Linked DNA regions of Xenopus tropicalis. The protein of the gene in region 1 interacts with the protein of each later gene in a pairwise test. Links are inferred from orthologs where the notes say so. Each region holds a gene or a part of one and is shown in the gene's direction. Other genes may lie near its edges.

Region 1 (4,101 bases):
TTATATTTGCCTACTTGTGTCTGTAAGTTACCCTCCCATATAGATTGTAAGCTCTACGGGGCAGGGACCTCCATCCTCTTGTGTCCTCGACTCTTAACTTATTGCTGATGTATTTATCTGTATTTATTATTATACTTTGTATTTATCTATTATCTTATTAACCCCCTGTTTGTATTAATGTATTCTACTGTACAGCGCTGCGTACATAAGTAGCAATTATAAATAAAGGGTTATGGGAGATAGCTCTCAGTACTAGTTGATCCAGGGACTGGTCCGATTGCCATCTTGGAGTCAGGAAGGAATTTTTTCCCCTCTGCGGCAAATTAGAGAGGCTTCAGATGGGGTTTTTTGCCTTCCTCTGGATCAACTAGTAGTTAGGCAGGTTAGGTATAGGCATTATGGTTGAACTTGATGGACGTATTTCTTTTTTCAACCCAACTTACTATGTTACTATGTTACTATATACATACATACATAAGTCCACCTCACCTCTCAGCTACACAGGAATAAATCCACCTCACCTCTCAGCGGGGAACCCTACAGCTCACGCGCCGCCGCCATGTAACCATTCTCACTCCTCTATATGGAACGTTCATCTGCACAAATGAATCTCGTACAGTCACAAATCCGGGGGAACGTGGGGAGGCCCAGTATTCGCATTGGATCGAGGGGAAGCTGACTGAAATAGAATAAGGACATGAATTAAAGGAGAAATACGCCATTTTCAAAGCTTTGTTAATCCTAAAAGGTTTTGTTCACCTTTAAATTAACTATTAGTACGTAGTAAGGAAGGCGATTCTGAAACAATTAGCACTTGGTCTTCATTTTTTTATTATTTGTGGTTTTTTAACTATTTAGCTTTTTATTCAGGGACTCCCCAGTTTGCAATTTATGCAGCTGTATGGTTGCTACAGTCCAAATTACCCTAGAAACCAGACTATATAGTGTCACTGCCCTCCATCTCCCAGGCAGTGAGTGAGGGAAGGCGGCCCAGTCAGAGCCCTATATAGGGTCAGAGCCAGCCCCGCCCATCTCCCAGGCAGTGAGTGAGGGAAGGCGGCCCCGCCCATCTCCCAGGCAGTGAGTGAGGGAAGGCGGCCCCGCCCATCTCCCAGGCAGTGAGTGAGGGAAGGCGGCCCCGCCCATCTCCCAGGCAGTGAGTGACGGAAGAGAATGTACCGCCCACCCAGGTTATGGCGGAGGTGATGTCACAGTGACAGGCCACTTCCCGCCTCCCCATTGCCGTAGCCCCGCCCCCGCATCTCTGAATGCCCGGAGAGAGGAGACGGACTGTGCAGCCTGACTCACGGACATCCTGCGCTACGGAACGGCATAGCCAGAGTGGAACGGCCCGGTGAGTACGGGGGGCTGCAAGGGACACGGCCTGGGGGCCGGGGAGTCAGTTTGGGGGGTGTAGGGCCGAGACGGGCAGCAGGGCCCCGGGAGAACTGGGGGCGGGGAGAGAGGGGGGGCAGGTGCAGGGGGGTGGGGGGGAGTTACTGTATCTGCCCCATAATAACATAGCCCTGGGGTAGGATTGTGATGTGTGGGGGGAGGGGGCAACTATATATAATTGGGGGGGGGGGGCAGTTCTGTACCCCATGGTATGTTGGTGGCTAGAGGCATGCCGGGATAATGGGGGTCCGTAACCTCCGGGGCAGAGAGGATGCCGGGATTGGAGCGGATTCTGCTGTGTGTGGGGAAGGTTATTGTGTGTGTGTGTGTGTGTGTGTGTGTGTGTGTTAGGTGCAGGCATTGTGGGTAATACTGGGGGTGTCAGGGAAAGAACACTGGGGGGGGGGATGCTGTGTGTGTGTGTGTATAGCCACATGAAAGCACAAACATAATGTATATATGTGTATATGATTTCATGTGTGTGGTTATTATATATATATATGTGTGTGTGTGTGTGTGGGAGGGGGGGGGCGGCTGGCAGTGTTGGTGCTGGGGGAATACTGATGGAGGGATATCAGGCAGGGGGGGGGGGGCAGTGCTTTGATGCTGAGGATGATGATGGTGACGGGGAGGCAGCGCCGGGATGGGTACCGGCCTTATTATATGCTGCTGGGGGGCAAACAACTGCCTATGGGGATTAGGGTTTGTGTCAGGGGTATTTATATGGGTCAGGGGGTGGGAGACTGGGCGGGGGGGGGGATATACATGGGGCTGGGGGTATGGCGCTGTGCTGGGTGATATATATATATATATATACACAAAAAGATCAGCGACACCAGGATTTTTTTTTAGGGAAAAACCAAATGTGTATTTAGCAGTAACACACATAACTGTATTATCTTTGTGCAATGATGTTTTGGTATATGGGTTATTTATTGGGTATTTTGTCCAGTACTGTATGAAGGGGGCTGCTATGGGGGGGGGTACTTGTGAGGGTCTCTGTGATGGAGAGAAATATACTGTTATGGCAGATGATTTCACAGTAGTGACGTGCCAGGCAATAGTATGTAGGGGCCAGTGGGGGGGGGCGGTATGGTAGGGCCAGGGGGGCTGGTATCATAGGGGTGGTATGGTAGTGCCAGGGTGGCGTTATGGTGGGGCCAGGGGGTTGGTATCATGGCGTCAGTATCATAGGGGCAGTATGGTAGGGCCGGGGGGTGCAGTATGGTAGGGCTGGTGCGGTTTCATAGGGGCAGTATGGTAGGGCCGGGGGGCAGTATGGTAGGGCCAGGGGGTTGGTATCATGGGGTCAGTATCATAGGGGCAGTATGGTAGGGCAAGGGGGTTGGTATGGTAGGGCCAGGCGCTCGGTATCATGGGGCAGTATGGTAGAGCCAGGGAGGGGGTCGGTATGGTAGGGGCAGGGGGGTCGGTATGGTAGGGGCAGGGGGGTCGGTATGGTAGGGGCAGGGGGTCGGTATGGTAGGGGCAGGGGGTCGGTATGGTAGGGGCAGGGGGTCGGTATGGTAGGGGCAGGGGGTCGATATGGTAGGGGCGGGATGGTAGGGGCAGGGTGGGCGGTATCATAGGGGCAGGGGGTCGATATGGTAAGGCCAGAGGGTCAGTATGGTAGGGGCAGGGGGGTCGGTAGGGGCGGGATGGTAGGGGCAGGGGGGCCGGTACAGTAGGGGCAGGGGACAGTGTAGCTGGTTGGTACTGGGATGGCGGTTCTGGGATGGGACACAATATAAAGGATTGCTGATGGGGCAGGTAATACTCACGGGGTGCCAATATGAAGGGTTATAATATGGGGGTACTGTAAAGCAGTGCTGGGCAACAGGGAAGATTTCAGGGGGGCTGGTGTGGCCCCGGGCTATTCAGCATTATGTCCCTCGCTGGGAGTAGTGCGGATCCGTGTGCCTTGTGGTTTCTCCAGCCACTGACTGTAGCGCTGCTGTATGTGGGGCCTGGGGGTTATGGGATGTTGTGCGGATACAATAGCAATAGTTCTGGGTTCCAGAACATCATCATGGAGGCCGCAGCTGCACATTAGGGCCATAAATGGCTCCTGGGCCTCCTGTAGGGCTTCATAGAATAATCATGGTGGAGGTATGTGTATCAGTAGTAATGCTGGGGGTGCTGGGAGGGACTTTACTAAAAATTATTTTGGGGGTTTAGCAAATAGTATTTCTCCTTACCTTACTATATGCGCCTCTCTGCTCCTTACCTTACTATATGCCCCTCTCTGCTCCTTACCTTACTATATGCGCCTCTCTGCTCCTTACCTTACTATATGCGCCTCTCTGCTCCTTGCCTTACTATATGCGCCTCTCTGCTCCTTGCCTTACTATATGCCCCTCTCTGCTCCTTACCTTACTATATGCGCCTCTCTGCTCCTTACCTTACTATATGCCCCTCTCTGCTCCTTACCTTACTATATGCGCCTCTCTGCTCCTTACCTTACTATATGCGCCTCTCTGCTCCTTGCCTTACTATATGCGCCTCTCTGCTCCTTGCCTTACTATATGCGCCTCTCTGCTCCTTGCCTTACTATATGCGCCTCTCTGCTCCTTACCTTACTATATGCGCCTCTCTGCTCCTTGCCTTACTATATGCGCCTCTCTGCTCCTTACCTTACTATATGCGCCTCTCTGCTCCTTACCTTACTATATGCGCCTCTCTGCTCCTTACCTTACTATATGCGCC
Region 2 (4,340 bases), on another chromosome or scaffold:
GGGCACACAATAAGCTGTACCCCCATACTGCACTGTCTAAGGGAAACAATATGGCACCTCCCTCCCATATGTATAAATACAAATATACAGAGAAGGAATGTTCTGGGCACACAATAAGCTGTACCCCCATACTGCACTGTCTAAGGGAAACAATATGGCACCTCCCTCCCATATGTATAAATACAAATATACAGAGAAGGAATGTTCTGGGCACACAATAAGCTGTACCCTCATACTGTACTGTCTAAGGGAAACAATATGGCACCTCCCTCCCATATGTATAAATACAAATATACAGAGAAGGAATGTTCTGGGCACACAATAAGCTGTACGCTCATACTGTACTGTCTAAGGGAAACAATATGGCACCTCCCTCCCATATGTATAAATACAAATATACAGGGAAGGAATGTTCTGGGCACACAATAAGCTGTACCCTCATACTGTACTGTCTAAGGGAAACAATATGGCACCTCCCTCCCATATGAATAAATACAAATATACAGAGAAGGAATGTTCTGGGCACACAATAAGCTCTACCCTCATACTGTACTGTCTAAGGGAAACAATATGGCACCTCCCTCCCATATGTATAAATACAAATATACAGAGAAGGAATGTTCTGGGCACACAATAAGCTGTACCCTCATACTGTACTGTCTAAGGGAAACAATATGGCACCTCCCTCCCATATGTATAAATACAAATATACAGAGAAGGAATGTTCTGGGCACACAATAAGCTGTACGCTCATACTGTACTGTCTAAGGGAAACAATATGGCACCTCCCTCCCATATGTATAAATACAAATATACAGAGAAGGAATGTTCTGGGCACACAATAAGCTGTACCCCCATACTGTACTGTCTAAGGGAAACATTATGGCACCTCCCTCCCATATGTATAAATACAAATATACAGAGAAGGAATGTTCTGGGCACACAATAAGCTGTACCCTCATACTGTACTGTACTAAAGGAAACAATATGGCAGCTCCAATGAAGTTACTTTTTAATCAAGAATTCTGCCTCACGATATGCTCAGTGAGTTTTTTTCAAAAAAAACATGATATCCACTCCCTTAGCTAAAGGCTTGGGCAGTGCACCTGAGCCTCTCTTTCTCTGCAGTGAGTTGTTGGACATATTTAGAATCACACAATAAGCTGTACCATCATACTGTAATGTGTAAAATACAAACATATTTATACAATATAAGAAGACAAGGCCTAGAGATTAAAAAAACATTTTGCTCCCAGAAGCTAGCTATAGGTACATACCTGGGCCATATATTTGCCCATTTAGTTTATTTTTTTTATATCTATCTCATTTTTGACACATTTACACTTTTCCTATTCATACATTTCCCTTATGAAGCATGTCAGTCTCGTTTATGACGCAAGACGCAGCACGTAATGACGTATTGACGCCGCCTCTTCCCGTCTCTATGGTGCGTGTGAGTCAGCCCTTTCTCCCCGCCCACTCCCTGCCTGACAGCCGGCTGAAGCTCCCCGCCCTGTGTGGCGTCACTGGGAGGCCGGCTCAGGAGCACTGCGAAGGCAAGATGGCGGCCACCACGGTCTCGGGTGAGCTGGGTGACGGGGCGCTGCGGGACAGGGAAGCGGGGGGAGGGCTTGCTGAGGGCAGGTTGCACCGCCGGCCAGGAACTGGCTTCTCTGGGGTTCCTGCTGTACTGTGGGGCGGTGCCTTGGCCCGGGTAGCGCTGCTGCGGGGCCTTCGCACCTCTCCGCACGGCTCTGCCCTGTCAGGAGCCCCGGGTTCCTGCTTGTGCCGGTAGCGCGGAATCAGCTGCCCCCGGAGGCCTGGGAGGGAAGCACTAGGTGTTACAGCTCCCAATCCGCCAGTGACAAGACTCGGCCCTGCCTGCACTGCTGTTCCCCCGGGCTGGGCGGCTGCAGAGGGCTGCCTGGGCTCTCCCTTACTAATGCCGGGCAATCAGACATGTTTGACAGCTGCAGGGCCACACGTTTAAAGGGGAACACCGCCCACAAACAGGATTTATTGCAGAAGAATTACTCAGCAACGTCCCAATAGTCACTGACTTCCACTGGGTTTTGCCACATAGGCAAATGAAAATTCTATGTGCTCTGCTGGTACTGACTCCTGAAGCAATGTAGCAGAAACCAGGGGATTAATAGTGCAGTCAGGACTAGAGAAAAAGGCACTACATTCAGTTTCTAATTGTTTCCCCATCAGTAGTGTGGCCTAAAGGTGGCCTTACACTGTAAGAAACGCTTGCTTGGCGAGGGCGCCCATAGAGTGGATCTCCTCCCGATATGCCCACCCTAGGGCCAAATTATCAAATTAAAACAGTGGGCATAGGCACCGTTAGTGCAGTGACTGCATCAATGAGGTCCCCGGTCCGACAGAAGAATCAAACCTGCCCGATCAAGATCTGGTGCCCATACACAGGCAGATAAACAGGGAGATTGTTGGCGCCCATACACAGGCAGATAAACAGGGAGATTGTTGGTGCCCATACACAGGCAGATAAACAGGGAGATTGTTGGTGCCCATACACAGGCAGATAAAAAGGGAGATTGTTAGCGCCCATACACAGGCAGATAAACAGGGAGATTGTTAGCGCCCATACACGGGCAGATAAACAGGGAGATTGTCGGTGCCCATACACAGGCAGATAAACAGGGAGATTGTTGGCGCCCATACACAGGCAGATAAACAGGTAGATTGTTGGCGCCCATACACAGGCAGATAAACAGGGAGATTGTTGGCGCCCATACACAGGCAGATAAACAGGGAGATTGTTGGCGCCCATACACAGGCAGATAAACAGGGAGATTGTTAGCGCCCATACACAGGCAGCTAAACAGGGAGATTGTTAGCGCCCATACACAGGCAGATAAACAGGGAGATTGTTGGTGCCCATACACAGGCAGATAAACAGGGAGATTGTTGGTGCCCATACACAGTCAGATAAACAGGGAGATTGTTGGTGCCCATACACAGTCAGATAAACAGGGAGATTGTTGGTGCCCATACACAGGCAGATAAACAGGGAGATTGTTGGTGCCCATACACAGTCAGATAAACAGGGAGATTGTTGGTGCCCATACACAGGCAGATAAACAGGGAGATTGTTGGTGCCCATACACAGGCAGATAAACAGGGAGATTGTTGGTGCCCATACACAGGCACATTGGATCTAAAGGACTGATATATTGGCAGCTGAAATCAGCCAGCGTATGGCCATCTTTACTCAGTTTAGGGGAAACAGTAGTTTTTTTTTTTTTTTTTTTTTTTTTTTTTTTAAGCCCCCGGCAGCACTAGACTGCCCTCACCAGGAGCGAGCTCCCCAAGTACCTGCCACAACTCGCTCATTATGCGCATGCTTGTGACATAGGAGGGTGAATCGCATACGTGGGAAACAACATGGCTGCCCGCACTGGGAGCTGCCTCCATCAAGCTAATGCACTGTATCCTATGGCCACAAACTGGCACCTTCCCTAGTTCCCTGGGGCACTATAGGAAGCACAATACATAACTTCATATTAATATTCTGTCATGTTAGACATCCAGTCTGTGCCCGTGCAATGTCCTGCACCCCCAGGGCATTATTTTCAGGTGCCCTGGAATCCCTTGAATACTTCCTTCTAGGTAGATTGAAGTCTGGGCAGTACAGTTAGCTGGTAGATAAGTGACCATTCTGTCTGGTCTCAACATGAATCTCAGCCTCAGTTTGGACAGGTTAAACAGAACTGTTTGGGTCCTGTATAAGGGTGAAGACACACTAAGCTACTAGTAGCAGCTACTTTCTCATGGCTATTAAACTCCAGAAAATCCCCTGCCATAGACAATACTGAGAATTGCCTCTGCTAAAACACACATAGAGACAATTATCAGTAAATGATCAGCATTGTCTATTTTAGTAGCCGTGACAAGTAGCTGCTACTAGTAGCTCTGTGTGTCTTCACTCTAAATATTACTAGCAACTAACTTGATTTGCCATTTCAACAAGCCTAGATGTCTCCTTATGGATAAAAACTAATTCCTAATATGTATGCTTTCATTGCTATATGCCATGGTAATTTAATTTAACAGGGAATTTACCTCTTCAACAGGTTTCACCCTCCCCCTTTCCGAATAGGAAGTGTTGTAACTTTCACAGCTTTTCCCTTGAGGTTTAGCAGTTTTTTTTTTTTTAATATATAGTTTGTGATACTAAAAGACCTCCAGGCTATCCATACATGCTCGGGATTGTAATGTAGATACTGCAAGTTGCAGGTTGTTGGTTCCTTTTTCTTTAATAATGCAATCCTTTCTCTTTTGCTTTCGTTTATTTAAAGACAAATGCAGTTTCTCGG
Region 3 (4,224 bases), on another chromosome or scaffold:
TTGGGAGCACATTGTGGCTACAATTTCCATAGTGGGAAGTATCACTTTTGCCACTCAGCATTAAGCTAGCATTAGTGTTTGGATCTTGGCACACAAGTTTGTTGCTTCTATTGATGCAGCCCACTGTGGGAACCCATGGATCACCGCCGCTTTCAGGGTGCCAACAGTGCTAGGGTTACCTTGCACTCACGCATGATTTTTATAACTAAGGAACAGGGCTCAGTTCAATAGTGCATTACTGTAAGGCATGTGTTTAGATGCAAGTATCTTTAATGAATAGGGTCAGTACGAGCACAGCCTTATAAATGATCATAAATGAGCCCTTATTTCCCTTAAAGCAGGAGCCATGTTAAATCAAAAGAAAATGCAAGCAAAAATACATGTAGGCATTATGCGGCATTTGTTTGGAGCAACATCTGTACTAGATATAAGATAGTTTTCTTGGTTTGAATACCTCCCACAACTCTGGCAAATACTTTAAACACCCAGTTATTAAATAGCTATCCTTATATAGTTTCTTATGATATCCTACATTTTTAAAAGATAAGTAAAACTTAAAAATAAGTTAATGTAAAACTGATGTGAATGCTATTCCAAGCACTCTTGCATTTCACGTTATTTTTTATTTTTTTTGAGATTCAAAGATATTAAGGGGATTGTGTACTGTAAAATATGAATTAATTTTGTTACAACAGCACCACCTGCTGGTCTGTTTCTGACTAATAAATATTTAGAAAGCTCTAGATAACCATCTTTCCTAACCAGAAGAACATTTCTTTCACCTATTTCCTTGACTAGATCATGGTAGAAAACAAACCAGCAGATGGCACTGTAGTAACGAAATGTGATTTGTATAGATAAGCAAGGCGATCACAAGAGCTCCTGTGTTAAATAAGTGTATTAGAAAGAGGGAGTCCTCCTCGCAAGCACTATTTTACACCAAAGTGACATCATTAAATTAAAAAGTTAGCGTTGCTGAACTAAAAGTACGACATCACTGACGCTAAACAGCCGCGCAAGGCCAGTCAGTGCTGAATGGTCACTACACTAATAAAGGGTTATACACGTCCTTATCATTTCCTGCCTGGTACTGTTACAGTGCGGGATTGCTTTTGCGTTCAGCCTCAACCCCTAATTACTTTTCGTATACTCCCTCCCTAACAGTATCACAAGAACATTAAACAGCCCAAAATAGAGAGAATCTCTCCACTGCTCTTTAAACGTCGGTCGACGCTTTTCTCCGCCCTGCGCAAGGACGCACGTATGTTACGTTGAAGTGCCCGCGCTTGGAGGCGTGGTTAGTAGGCAGGCGGGCGGGGCTGGAAGAGATCTAACAGTAGTGAATAGCCGACACGGAGCTGAGAGACAATGGTGAGTGTACTGTAAGGTGTAGAGAGAAAGGCAGGATACCGAAGCAGGGCTTAGAGTAGCGGCCATTTCATTTTGCTGAGCCACTTACGTTATTGTTAACGATATTGCTGCTGGAGTAATTAATACTTGTCATAAAGATAAACTTTAGGAAGTGCAACTTAAAGGGATACTGTCACCATTTTATGGTGTACCTTTTATGTCTAAATTACACTGTTTACATAGCAACAAATTCACATTTTACTCTTGAAGCAACACATGTATTTTTTAGCTGTGTAGGCAGCCATATCAGTGCATTGTGCCTGAGTCTGAGCTTTCAGAAGGAGCCAGCGCAACATGTTTGAACTGCTTTCAGGTAACCTATTGTTTCTCCAATGTAACTAGAGGAGTCCCAAGCCGGACTTGGATTTCTTACTATTGAGTGCCATTCTGATATCTACTGGGAGCTGCTATCTTGCTCCCTTCCCATTGTTCTGCTGATCGGCTGCTGGGAGGAGGGTGATATCACTTCAACTTTCAGCTCAGTAGTAAAGTGTGACTGAAGTTTATCAGAGCACAGGTCGCATGGCTGTGGCACCCTGGGAAATGAGGAATATGGCTAGCCCTACGTGAAATTTCAAAATTAAATATAAAAAAAATCTTTGTGTTTTTGAAAAACAGATTTCAGTGCAGGATTATATCGGAGAATCTCTAAACACTGATGTGTTTTGAAAAACAACATGTTTTCCAATGACCGTATTCCCTTAAAGGAGACATTTTGGATAAATGGGATAAACCCTAGTTTTGTAGGCAATTATGAATAATATACGGTGCTGGTTTCCCTTTGGGCTAAACATTAACCCTATCTGTAACAATGGCCCCCTGTAATTGGAGCTCCCTATAGATTGCATCACTTCTCCCTCCAGTGTGAAATGAAGAGTGGGCGTGTCCTAACAGTCCCTGCCAGAAGCACAGTAGGAGGGGAGAGCCAATCACAGCCCTGCAGTCACACAAGCACAGACAGGCTTCAGTTCCCTATCAGGTCAGCCTAGCTGCTGATTGGTTCCTATCCTACAGTGCAGGGTACGGCGGGCCGCCGGCTCCCCAGCTCATCCAGAGAATTCAGCCAGCAGGAAGTGGCACAGATGGGCGGGACTAGTGGGGTTTTTGTGGAATTTCTCAATAAATCAGTCAGAAACACAACTTTTTAAGCACAATCCTTCTATATCTAGAGGAGTATAATTCACTGGTACATTCATAATTTTTATAGGATATGTCTCCTTTAAAGTAGCTTGTCAATTCAAAAAAGAAAAGCAATTTTCTAATATTTTAATTTGGTTGAAGTTATTAGTAAACATAACTTTTACTGATAGCAGTGTATCTGCAGTAATATAGCAGAAGCCAGCTGATTAATCCCTCTCAGGAGGCACAACCTTTGTTAATTGAGGTCAACTATATTAAGAATATTAGCCCTGAATTTCTCCCTTATTTACTGTCATGTGAAAAAGTAGTACACCCTATGTAAAGTTTTTTTTTTTTTTTTTTTTAACATATGGGAATGTCAATATTTGATATTCTTTCACATAGTATATACAGATAGATACAAAACACAAAAACAAAGAAAATGGAGTTTCCAATCATTCATTAAATTAAATTTATCTGAAATAAGTAAGTACACCATTGGCTGTAATACTTGGGATTGCCCCTTTTGGCAGAAACAACCTCAAGTAGGAGTTTCTTATAATTGCTTGTAACATAAATCAGCAGAAATGGTCTTCTACTCCTCCATTAATCATTTTTTCAGTTGCCCAATCATGATTTTATTGCATGCACATCATTTTTCAAAAGCCCCGTAAACTGAGGTATTTAGATCTGGGCTTTGACTTGGCCATTCCGCAATGCTCCATTTCCTTTTCAGCTATTCCTTGGTGAGTTTACTGGTATAATTAGGGTCATTTTCATGTTGTAAGGTCCACTTTCAAGTGAGCTTTAATCTTCTGACACTTGGTCTTATATTATCCAGAAGCACACTTCAGTACAATGAAGGACTCATAGTGGATTCTGTGATGATGAGTTGGCTAGACCTTTATTCAGTAAAGCAGCCCCAAGAAGTCCTGAACTTTGCCTAGGTGTTCATGAGCAAACTTTAGTCTTTCCGTGATGTTTCTTCTTGGCACACCCTTAATGTAGATGTAATTTGTTTAATGTTAGACTTTTTGACTTTGACATCAAATCAAAGGTTTAAATAATTCATCAGAGATCCTCTTTAACAATGTTTTCATCGTTTGTACCTGCACTGGTGCCTGATTCTAATTGTAGTTATCTGAGCTAGCAATAAATGTAGGATTGTACTTGTTACACATGTGCAATTTGCTTATTTAACTTACACAGTGGAATAAAAAATATGAATGGTATGCAAAATGTGTAAATATATAATGAATTTCAAATATCTATATGTGAAATGTGTTGAATGTCAGATATTGCTAAGGGGTTTACATTTTTTCATGGTTGTGCCTCCAACCTAGACTTTAAGGTGCATCTAACTTGGCAAACAGGCTTGCTGTTTACGTTTTTCCACACATACACTCGTCAATTTGCTATCTTACCATGGGCCCATGTCTCATACACATGCATGCCCACCTAACTATTGTTGGGGAACTACAGAAAGAGGAGCTGTTGCTCCGGTAAACTTAATTTGCGATATGTTACACACTTTCCATCATGGGGCAATATCAAATTAAATTTTCAAATGTCTGTGCATCTGTGATCCTGTAAAATTGCAGTATGATTTGTCAAAAGAGCTCTCCAACTTGGCATACTACTTGTACAGATGCTTGGACAGCATGGTCAAAATTGGTCGAACGGCCTGATAAAATC

The links.
Region 2: the proteins of fam168a (region 1) and ube2v1 interact in binary tests that used the Homo sapiens proteins (3 or more experiments, as listed by UniProt). The two-hybrid records come from large-scale screens. The link is inferred for Xenopus tropicalis from reciprocal best matches to the Homo sapiens genes FAM168A and UBE2V1.
Region 3: the proteins of fam168a (region 1) and otub2 interact in binary tests that used the Homo sapiens proteins (3 or more experiments, as listed by UniProt). The two-hybrid records come from large-scale screens. The link is inferred for Xenopus tropicalis from reciprocal best matches to the Homo sapiens genes FAM168A and OTUB2.

Annotation. Positions count from the first base shown.
Region 1 is NC_030678.2:173,972,292-173,976,392, reverse strand, and holds the start of fam168a (protein FAM168A), read left to right. Parts: upstream 1-1,190; 5' UTR 1,191-1,354; intron 1,355-4,101.
Region 2 is NC_030686.2:36,460,852-36,465,191, reverse strand, and holds the start of ube2v1 (ubiquitin-conjugating enzyme E2 variant 1), read left to right. Parts: upstream 1-1,463; 5' UTR 1,464-1,561; coding exon 1,562-1,583; intron 1,584-4,340. UniProt on the Homo sapiens protein: Has no ubiquitin ligase activity on its own. The UBE2V1-UBE2N heterodimer catalyzes the synthesis of non-canonical poly-ubiquitin chains that are linked through Lys-63.
Region 3 is NC_030684.2:88,154,264-88,158,487, forward strand, and holds the start of otub2 (ubiquitin thioesterase OTUB2), read left to right. Parts: upstream 1-1,347; 5' UTR 1,348-1,368; coding exon 1,369-1,371; intron 1,372-4,224. UniProt on the Homo sapiens protein: Hydrolase that can remove conjugated ubiquitin from proteins in vitro and may therefore play an important regulatory role at the level of protein turnover by preventing degradation.